Linked DNA regions of Tribolium castaneum. The protein of the gene in region 2 purifies or fractionates together with the protein of the main gene of each other region. This does not show direct contact. Links are inferred from orthologs where the notes say so. Each region holds a gene or a part of one and is shown on either strand. Other genes may lie near its edges. The genes, in order: Fbl6, SkpA and F-box/LRR-repeat protein 16.

Region 1 (3,762 bases), on a different chromosome or scaffold from region 2:
CAGGAGGCTTGAACGACTTGGGGGAACTTACTTACGTTCGTTGGCCGGACTTGCTCCCATCAGAGATGGGGCCACAGCTCTACTCTGAATTGGTCCAAATGTGCAAAACTTATAATCCCGATACTAAAATGGTACTTTACGTTTCCGTGTGTGTTGTGTCGGAAACGCCAGCTACAGGGGCCGTCAAATGGGAACGCCAATTGGTGTCTCGCTGTGCCAAAATGCGACTCAGTAAAGACTTTTTCTTCTCCGTTCCGGAAAATCCCGAAACTCTCATCTTGACTTGTAATTCGATCGAAGAAGGAAACGAAGAAGCGAAGAAACTCAAAGAGTTGAGTATTGATAATGTTTTGAAGGAATTGAGAGCGCGTGGAGTGTCTCTCAAAAGACAACATCCGATTATTTTCAAACAATTGTGTGCTTACGCGAATGGAACGTGTGAGAAATTTACGCCGATTACGGTGTATCCAAAAGATGCGACCACTGGGAAGAGTTTCATGTGCATTATTATGCTGGAAGCGGATCCGGAAAGTTTGAGACAAGTGGAATCAGCGGGTGTTAAAGTTAGGACTGTCAATGTGCTGTGCGCGGCGGCGGAATAAAAGACCTCTCTATTACCTACCCTATCCTGTGATTTATTATAGCTTGTTGTTATTCTGCAAATTTTAACGAGATTATTCATGTTGATATATCTAATAATGTTGCTTTTTTTTCATAATTGTACTCTAAATAAATTAAATTGTTTGGAATGGTTTTAGGGTACGTGCCTTTGCCTCGACTTTCACACGAAAAAAAGACACATATCGGACGCTTCCCTTATTTTCATCACGTACCATAAATTTTTTTACTAGTTCATTTTTATTTTCCCAAAAACACACCAAATTTTGAAAAGCAATAAAACAATTGGAATTTAACAAAAATGTTTTATTCATTTTTCTCGATTACTATTCATAGTTGTACGAATAAGAATTGTTGAAATAAACTCATTATTCAAATAAGTTATTTTTTTATTTAATTAATTATTTTCCCCTCTGTTCATCGATAGATGGCGCAAAATTATCGCAACCTGTAACACCGGCAATAGCAGCGCCACCTATAAAAATGTTTGCATCTTGAGTAACAAGGTCAACAACACTAAAATCAGAAAGTGGCCAAGTTTTCCAAAATACTGATTTTCTCATCGAAATAGTGATGTGATTGTGATTGGTGGTGGTTTTTTCAACTATTATTGTGAGTTTTAGGTGAGTGTTTGACGATTGAATGGGCGAAAAAACCAAAGTCGGGACTGATCCGTTACGAAGTGAAAAAAACTCGATCGAGACCTCTTTCCTGCCTAGAGAAATTTAAATGTGCACTAAATTGTCGAATTTCGATAAATTTCCGCATTAACTTGCTGCTTTTTACGTAAATTTGTATAAATTCCGAAATGTATTCTCTCCTGTCATTTGTGATTGTTTACGAGCGGACTAGATACGAATTTTGCCGCCCAATTCAAATTTTTCTCTTTTGAATTGGAACACTTTTGTTTGTTTTTCATTTAATCAAGTAGGTTTTTGAATACATTTTTGTGATTTTTCAGTAGACGAGTTTGTCAGAGACGCGAAAAAAGTCACTCAATGGCCTGCAGACAACTTTCTATCTGAGCTACCGGTGCAAATTGCACATTTTGTAAGGTAATTTTCCAATCAAAATGTTGTACGCCATCTACGACAGGACCGTACTTAGATCGGTTTGCTATAGTAATTAATAAACTTTTTCAGGTTTTTTTTTCGTACGTCAATGATGTGGTTACCAACTTGAAAGAAAAAAATGTGAAAAAAATCACAATGTCGGGCGCCGATTGTTTCAATGACATACCGACTGAGATTTTTGCGGCGAATTTAACAGAAACAAACGGAGATATTTACGAACATTTACCAAACAATAATGTTTGTCCTGTGAAAAATTTTGTAACCGACGTACAACAACAAAATCAAGGCGCCACTAGCACGGGTAAAAAACAAAAACGTACGCTCAACCTTGTTAAAGTGCAAGGTTGGTAGCGCTAGTTTTCGTTAATTGAGTGTGTTTTTTTTTATTCGCCAGGTGGTGGTAGCCATGAGGAAAGTACTGATTGTAACAATGGTAGTAGCATAAAAAAAGTGTCGAAAAGTCGCAGCAAAAGCGGAATGGGCCGAGGTAGACCTCGGAAAGCGCTCGTCGCAATGTATCACAGTCAGATAAGCGGCGATAAAAACACAATAAAAATACGAATAAAAAAAAGTAATTTTACCGCACAAGTGCAACTAAGCAGTGCACCGAATAAAAAGAAAAGCGGAAGACGGAAAAAACAAAAAGTTACTTCGGATACGGACGTATCCGATTATGAATATACAGCAAAGAAAAGTAAGAATGAGAGTGACGTAACGAGCACTCAGGATCAGGAGCCTCAAGAGCAAAGCGTTTGGGGTGAACACGTACCGGAAAATGTGTTGTATAAAATTTTTCAAAACGTTTGCTTTCAAGACGGATGTTTGCCGAATCTAGTGAGGTAAAATAAAAAATTTAATCCTTAACGAGTCGCACATATGCGTGGGGTGTCATAGAAATTGTATGTAACTATGGTAATAAATTGCCATAGTAACAATAGAAAATTCAGTGACGGGTATTTAATTTTTTTTTCCCTAGATTATGTCGAGTGTGTAAACTGTGGCGAAACGTGGCTTTGACACCTTCGTTGTGGAACAAAGTCGATTTGAATTATGTAAAAGAACCATTCAGGACTGATTTGCAATTACATTGGTTAATTTATAATCGATTGTCTTGTTGCCAAGATTTAAATTTGGGTAAATAATATATACCCCCGAAAATGTTTTTTCTTGTTTTCTAATCTTGTATTTAGGTGAATGGAAGGTTCGTGATATACAAATTGCAATCGAAGCTCTCTGTACGAATTGTCCTGAACTTCAGGGCATCAATTTGAGTGGTTGGAAAGGCCTTAACGCCGATAATTTGAAATATTTAACAACGGAATGTAAAAAACTGGAACGATTAGACTTGTCGTCAATTAACGTAATATAATTTATTAAATAATAATAATAATAATAATACTTTTTTGGTTGTAGTCTACATCGGCAATTAATTCTCAACCTTTGGTAGCAATGGGGCAAACGATGAGCAGTCGTTTGACACATTTGGTACTCGCTCATAATAAAATGGCGGGTTTTACTCAAATAATGGCGTCAATTGCTGTACAAGTTTTCATTAATTATTTATGAATCATTTTCTAATTGGTTTTATTTTTAGGCAAATTGTCCAAATCTCCAGCTTTTAGATATATCCAACATTCGAACCTTTGCTCACAACAGCGCACTTTTACATGTTGAAAAATTACAAATTGGTTGTCCGAAATTGCGAGTTTTGCGTATTACGAATAGTCAAATTTGGTTGGCACCAGCTAGTTTGACTGATCAGGTTTGTAAAATTAAAGTAGGATTTTTTTTATTGGAAATTATTAGGTTGCCTCTCCTGGATTTCCGCTTTTGGAGGAGTTGTCTTTGGCCGGTTTGGAAGAAGACCAAACGACCACTTCTCGATCTGTTGACGATGACGGAATTGAAAGGATACTAAAAAATAGTACAAAACTTCGTTTGTTAGATGTTAGAGGGTGTATTCGTTTAACTGACTCTGGTTTAGTTAAAGTGCCCGCATGGGATCTCGAACATTTATTTTTGAGTGGTAGGTATTTAACACAAATTGTGTTGTTTGTTGAAAATTAATTTA
Region 2 (2,205 bases):
AAAATCGCTGATGTACACTGACAAACAAACAGAATTGGCAAGAAACCAGGTCAGTGGTTTAGCTCGTAATTCGGGGTCCCTTTGTGACACTGAAGTTACGTGCCCAAAATGACACCTTAACGTCATAATCTCAATTTGCACACTACAAATTGAATTTCCTTAATCCTAACACAATTCCAGTTTAATGAGCCGTGATGATGATTGTGACTGCGACGTTTTGGAAACGAAACAGAAGCTCAAACACATCAAATGCAAAATTATTAAATTAATGAATGAACAACTATCCAAGTCGGAAAATTTCGTGGAGGATGAAATCAAGCGAAATGGGTGTTTTACCCGAGGGTTAGTTGTGGTTAAAAAGCTGCCAATTAATTGCGAGTTGTAGGTGTTGGTGGTCCTTGTGTTCCTCCAGGACGTGGCTGTACTTTTTAGGGTTTTTAACGATGATATTTGTAGCGGTTTTAATGGGGGCGTTTATGGGGGCCCGCATTTGCGGGAACGAGGCGGGGTCTTGCGATGATTATGGCGTATTTTAACACTTGTATACTATATTTTATCCGACACCTATTATAATTGGTTAAGGTGCAAATAAACAACCAGTTGGGTCGAAATGGCGTTTGATTTAAATAATCATATTACAATAAAACAATGAACGCAATTTTGGAAATAATCTTAAATAAAAAAAATACGAGTTTACTTCTCCTCACACCATTCGTTCTCCTTGCGCACTTGCTCCTCCTCGGAGGCTGTGAAGTCGTTCTTGATGTTGAAAGTCTTGCGGATCTCCTCGGGGGCCTTGCCCTTGATCATGTTGGCGACTGTCTTGCAAGTCACATCGAGCAGCCCCTTGATGTCCAGGTAATTCGCCGCCAGGATCAGCTCAAACAAAGTGCCTTGGTCCACTTTGAGAAAATCGGCGTCCCATGACGAAATATCATCCGTGCGTTTCTCCTTGTTCTCGTCGTCTTCGGGCGGTGGAGGATCATCTTTGTGATAAGTGGACCACTGGATAACTTTCTTCAAAATCGCCGAATTGACATTGGGGAGAGGCACCACTTCCTCTTCCTCCTCGTCCATCCCCAGGTCCTCCAGCATGGTCTTGATGGTCACTGAACATTTCGCGATCTCCACGTCCACCTCGAACGTTTCACCGTCGGAGGAACGCAGTTTAATATTCGGCATTTTTCACGGTTTTTCTTCGATGACAGAATATGACAATAGACGGCAATAATGGTGGATGACAGGTGTAACGCGCAAGCGTCCCCACACGGGCGCCAGATTCGAACCAATTGTTATAAACAAATTAATTCAAAACGAGTTATTGCAGCAAATACGCAATGACGCGGCAAAATTTTCATCAAAACACGTAGCGCGTTATTTGCCTCGGATAATGTAATATGGGAAGAGCCGCAATATAAAGCTTAATTGTGCGTTAAAATTGTTGCACTTGGTTTGCGCAAGACCCCGCTCTTGATTTAAAAGAGGTGGCCCAAGAATTTGGGAGCCAGATTGTCCGTCTTCACCGCCTGTCTCCAAGCCAAACAATGGTAAGTCTGTCTGAGTCGTCTTTTTTGATTTTCTCCTTATCACCCTCTTTCTTACACATTATTTTGAAATTTTTGCGATAACACTCTTTATTGCATAAAAACAACTAATTGTAACAATCTGACGCAACAATTGACCGAATCTTTATTACTTGAAAACTTCCAATTCTTATCTAACTTGACTTCTCAAGTGTTTTGGAGCAAAACACAAACAAATTGTTATCTGATTTTTAGGGTTCCACAACAATGAAAAAGTCCATTACGGACCACCGAATCACTTTGTTGTTATTCGTCAGCATTATTTTCCTATCTATTGAAATTACCCACGGGGCTTTGGTCAAAAACCCCAACTTGCTGAAAAAAAATCATTGCAGGTACTAATTACATAATATCAGGTTTATTTAATTAATTAATTATTTAAGGACACACATTTTTTCTCCCGTGTGCCGCGGGCAGCAAAAGCGAGACATTTTAAGCCGTCTCAGTGACGAGTACAGGTAGTCATTAAAACAATTAAAGTGCAAAAGTTTGATTCATTTGTTAGGGTGCCAGCCCTGGATTCCGATTTTTCGGGGATTGACCGGTCCCGCGATTTCCCTACAATCCTTAACAGTCCGAGTCTTTTCGGGGAACTACTGAAAAAAGCCATAGAATCGTCCCC
Region 3 (3,762 bases), on a different chromosome or scaffold from region 2:
AACCCAACCATGATGATGTTTTGTAATTTAATTACAAAAAATTACAATTTGTTAGTACAATTTGTTAAATTTGTAATTTATTTTTTTGTTAATTATTATGTTTATTATCCTTTAATCAAAAACAACCAAACTTCATTTAAATTTAAAATTTAGTTCTAAGAAATACTACTAAACAAATGTTGCACATATTTTTTTTATTTTTTAATAGGTAGAAAAACAAATGAATTTACAAGTGTGTCATCAATTAAAATGTTATTTTTCGCTCTAGTTACATCCAAATTTGAACAATGTTGCATTGTTTGGGGTCCGTAGTATTAATTCTATGTACAACGTTTTAAGGAAATAACAGTAAAGGTCAAGTCTCTACAATAGTTTTCCTCATAATTTATTACGTTTTTGTATATGGTTATGCGTTAATTGTGTCCCTTTTTTTCTACTACTGTATCGTCTACATTTATTTTTGTCCATTATAGACTATGTAATCACATTGACGTAATATGAAAGCAGCGAAAAATTTTGCGTCCAAATAACAATATCGTCCGCAGCATTTTAATAAAAATCGACGACGTCTCGACGTCATTAATAACATTTTTTTCCTCGAAAGCCCGCTGAACCATTTATCTTTATCGACACAACATTGTATTGATTTTGATTTCGGGGTTAAAACAGTGGAAAATCGGATTAGCGCAGAAATTATCAATTAGCACACAAAGATGCTATAAAATATAATTATCCGAACCATTGAGGTCGGAAAGGGCTGAATTACTTTGTGAAATCCTTTAAATCACGAGCTTAGAGCGACACAAGACTCTTATTCCCAATTTATGTGAGATAATAAACCATTAGTTCTTTTACGGTACGGAAGCTGTTTGTTCACAGCATTTCAAAGGTCATTATATTGTTTACCTTTTGACCTTTGGGTAGGTATCGGAAATAAGAGACGCGAGCTTCGATTTAAGGGTGAAAGATTGTACATCAGTTGAAGCTGTTGCTAGGTGAGAAAAACGGAAACAGCCTTTTGTAGTTTTGTTTTTGTTCCAGTGATTCGAGTAATTCTCTCGTAAATTAGCCTAGGATCGATTTGTTAACCATGAAACTATCTCCTTAATTACGAGCAAACAATGCAATAAATTCTCTTCAAATGCAAATCAAGAAAAAGTTATTTGTTTCATTATCTGGAAAAATAAAACTCCAACACTCAACACTAATTAAAACTTTTCCAACTTATTACATTTTACTAAATAATTTCTTTACGTTAAAAAAATGTCGTGTCGAAATGCTACGCTATTTAACTTTCTCAGATCGATAAAATTTCCATAATAAACCAACGATTTCAGTCCGAATTCTCAGTGTTTTAAACCGAAAACTCTGTATTCCAGGCGCTCTACGAATTGGAACTAGCAGGCTGTAATGAAATAACGGAGGCTGGTTTATGGGCCTGTCTGAATCCTAGAATCGTCTCTTTGACACTAAGTGACTGTATAAATGTTGCCGATGAAGCTGTAGGCGCTGTGGCTCAACTCCTCCCTGCATTGTACGAATTCTCCCTCCAGGCCTACCATGTCACGGACGCCGCTTTAGGTTACTTTTCGCCAAAACAAAGCAACTCACTCAATATCCTCAGACTGCACTCGTGTTGGGAAATCACCAATCACGGAGTTGTAAATATTGGTAACATACTCTCATTGAAAAAAAAAACAATTTTAAAAAATCAATTTGCAGTTCATTCTCTCCCGAATCTAACGGTCCTCAGCCTCTCCGGATGCAGCAAAATCACCGACGACGGCGTCGAACTCATAGCTGAGAATTTACAAAAATTGAGATCGCTCGACTTGTCGTGGTGTCCTCGAATCACCGATGCTGCCTTGGAGTATATCGCGTGCGATCTCAACCAATTAGAAGAGCTTACACTCGATCGGTAACCAAACAAATTATAAGCCACAATTTCATTTAAACACAACGCAAAACTAGATAATTACGACAAAAATTACCTTACTTTAAGCTAAAAATTCATTTATTAAAAGTATATCTCTATATCTCTAAAACTAAGAACCACACAAAATTCAGCGTTTGCTATTCAACACTTTATATTTCTCCCTGTGCCTGTGAATTTTTTAAAAAAATTTCTACAATTCCTTATATTTCAAATTAATTAAATATATGAAACACTAAAAATAACTGTATAACCAACTTAAATTCAAATTTCCACAGCCTGATGAGATATCATTTAATTTGAAAGAGTATATATTTTTTAATTTGTTTTCCTTAGCAACGGTATCGATTATTGCTCTTTTGTTTTCTAGGTTATTGAATTTAATTTATTGTTGAAATTACAAGTTTTTAATTGTTTTGCACATCATTATACATTAATTGTTGTTTTTTTTAATTTGTATTTGTTTAATGTTGCAAGAGCTCGCTAACGAAAGTCAAAAAGTATGATATGAAACAAAAATTAACTTAAAAATTTAAGTTTGAAGACCTAAATCTCGTGAAAGAGGGTTCAAACAATTTTTTGTCATAGGAACTTTTAATTCAGCACCCAAGAAATTGTACGGTACTTTTGAATCACCGTGTATAGAATTCAATTTCACTATTTTTTTATTTTTTTAATTCAGCTTGTAAGCATTTTAGCATTTCAGTCTCTTAATACGAGTATATTGATTTTTTATTTTAGACTGTGTGTTTCAATTATTAGTGTTTCTCATTTTCAGTATCTTCTACTTTCTAGGGAAAAATGCTAGTTGCAGACTAAATTACTTTTTAATGTTGTAATGTTTAAAGTAGTGTAATTTTTTTTTATAAAAAATAGATACAGTGAGTTCATTTTTTGGTTGAAAGAAATTCTTACAGAAAACGAACCAATTTTACACCAGCAAATTTAAAACAATATTTAAGTTAAACGATTAATTAACTTCTTTTTTTATCCCCTTAATTAAACGCTCGAATTTACTTCTCGAGTTTAAATCTTTACGGAGATAAAATACATCTAAGACCCTTATACAATAAATAACAATTTTTTTCAACAAGAAAATTTTTTACAAAAGATATTTCGTTTTGTTTGTTTTTGTAATAGAATGTTTTACAATAAAAAATATGTTTTTATTATTCCTGATGTAGGAATTAAAAAAATATATCGGAAAATACCAGATTTTAACACGTAATTTCTGTTTTTCCAATATTTTTTGCTTCCTAATTAAAGTAAGTTTTAACCTCATAAAACTCCAATCTGTATTAATTAATTATTTCTTAAGCATTTTAAGATGTTATTTTGTGCAAAAAATCCTAAAAGTAATTTTTCCCAATTTTTTATTTTTTAATTTTTAATTAAAAAATATTTAAATACATGCTGCGGTGGTAGATTAAGCTTATTATCAATTTTTTGTCCAAAACCTTGTTTCAGGATAACACTATAAATAATAAAATTTCCATTAGTTTATGTTTATTTTTACTGATATTACTGATATTAATTACTAGTATTAATTACTATTAATACTGATCTTAATATTTTTATAAATAACTCTATAAGGGAGGGTAAAAAATTCTGAAAAAATTCACTTGTGTGGAAAAAAACATTAAATATAAAGCAACACACCGTGATTCCTATGCGATTATTAGTTTTTGAGATATAGTAAAAAATACTTTTAGCAGAAACACTTGCATTGTGTTTAATGTATTTTTTAAAGTTGCAATAACTGGTGGCCACTGATCAAAACGCAATCCGCTTTATTCGCTTTATTTCACAGATGTGTTCACATCACCGAC

Evidence for each region.
Region 1: the proteins of SkpA (region 2) and Fbl6 purify together in Homo sapiens (affinity purification with mass spectrometry; 6 studies listed by BioGRID and IntAct, with this or other methods). This does not show direct contact. The link is inferred for Tribolium castaneum from reciprocal best matches to the Homo sapiens genes SKP1 and FBXL6.
Region 3: the proteins of SkpA (region 2) and F-box/LRR-repeat protein 16 purify together in Homo sapiens (affinity purification with western blotting; 5 studies listed by BioGRID and IntAct, with this or other methods). This does not show direct contact. The link is inferred for Tribolium castaneum from reciprocal best matches to the Homo sapiens genes SKP1 and FBXL16.

Annotation. Positions count from the first base shown.
Region 1 is NC_087400.1:61,260-65,021, reverse strand, and holds the start of Fbl6 (F-box/LRR-repeat protein 6), read left to right. Parts: upstream 1-1,080; 5' UTR 1,081-1,241; intron 1,242-1,579; 5' UTR 1,580-1,675; intron 1,676-1,760; exon of another isoform or gene 1,761-1,761; 5' UTR 1,762-1,826; coding exon 1,827-2,007; intron 2,008-2,085; coding exon 2,086-2,530; intron 2,531-2,667; coding exon 2,668-2,825; intron 2,826-2,881; coding exon 2,882-3,051; intron 3,052-3,104; coding exon 3,105-3,230; intron 3,231-3,285; coding exon 3,286-3,453; intron 3,454-3,497; coding exon 3,498-3,717; intron 3,718-3,762. Other genes in the region: uncharacterized protein LOC661447, read left to right, coding at 1-602.
Region 2 is NC_087402.1:1,039,139-1,041,343, forward strand, and holds SkpA (S-phase kinase-associated protein 1), read right to left. Parts: upstream 1,261-2,205; 5' UTR 1,183-1,260; coding exon 694-1,182; 3' UTR 601-693; downstream 1-600. Other genes in the region: uncharacterized protein LOC103312555, read left to right, coding at 1,545-1,547, 1,779-1,918, 1,967-2,041, 2,089-2,205. UniProt on the Homo sapiens protein: Essential component of the SCF (SKP1-CUL1-F-box protein) ubiquitin ligase complex, which mediates the ubiquitination of proteins involved in cell cycle progression, signal transduction and transcription.
Region 3 is NC_087394.1:25,647,172-25,650,933, reverse strand, and holds part of F-box/LRR-repeat protein 16, read left to right. Parts: intron 1-1,379; coding exon 1,380-1,671; intron 1,672-1,722; coding exon 1,723-1,918; intron 1,919-3,743; coding exon 3,744-3,762. UniProt on the Homo sapiens protein: Substrate-recognition component of the SCF (SKP1-CUL1-F-box protein)-type E3 ubiquitin ligase complex.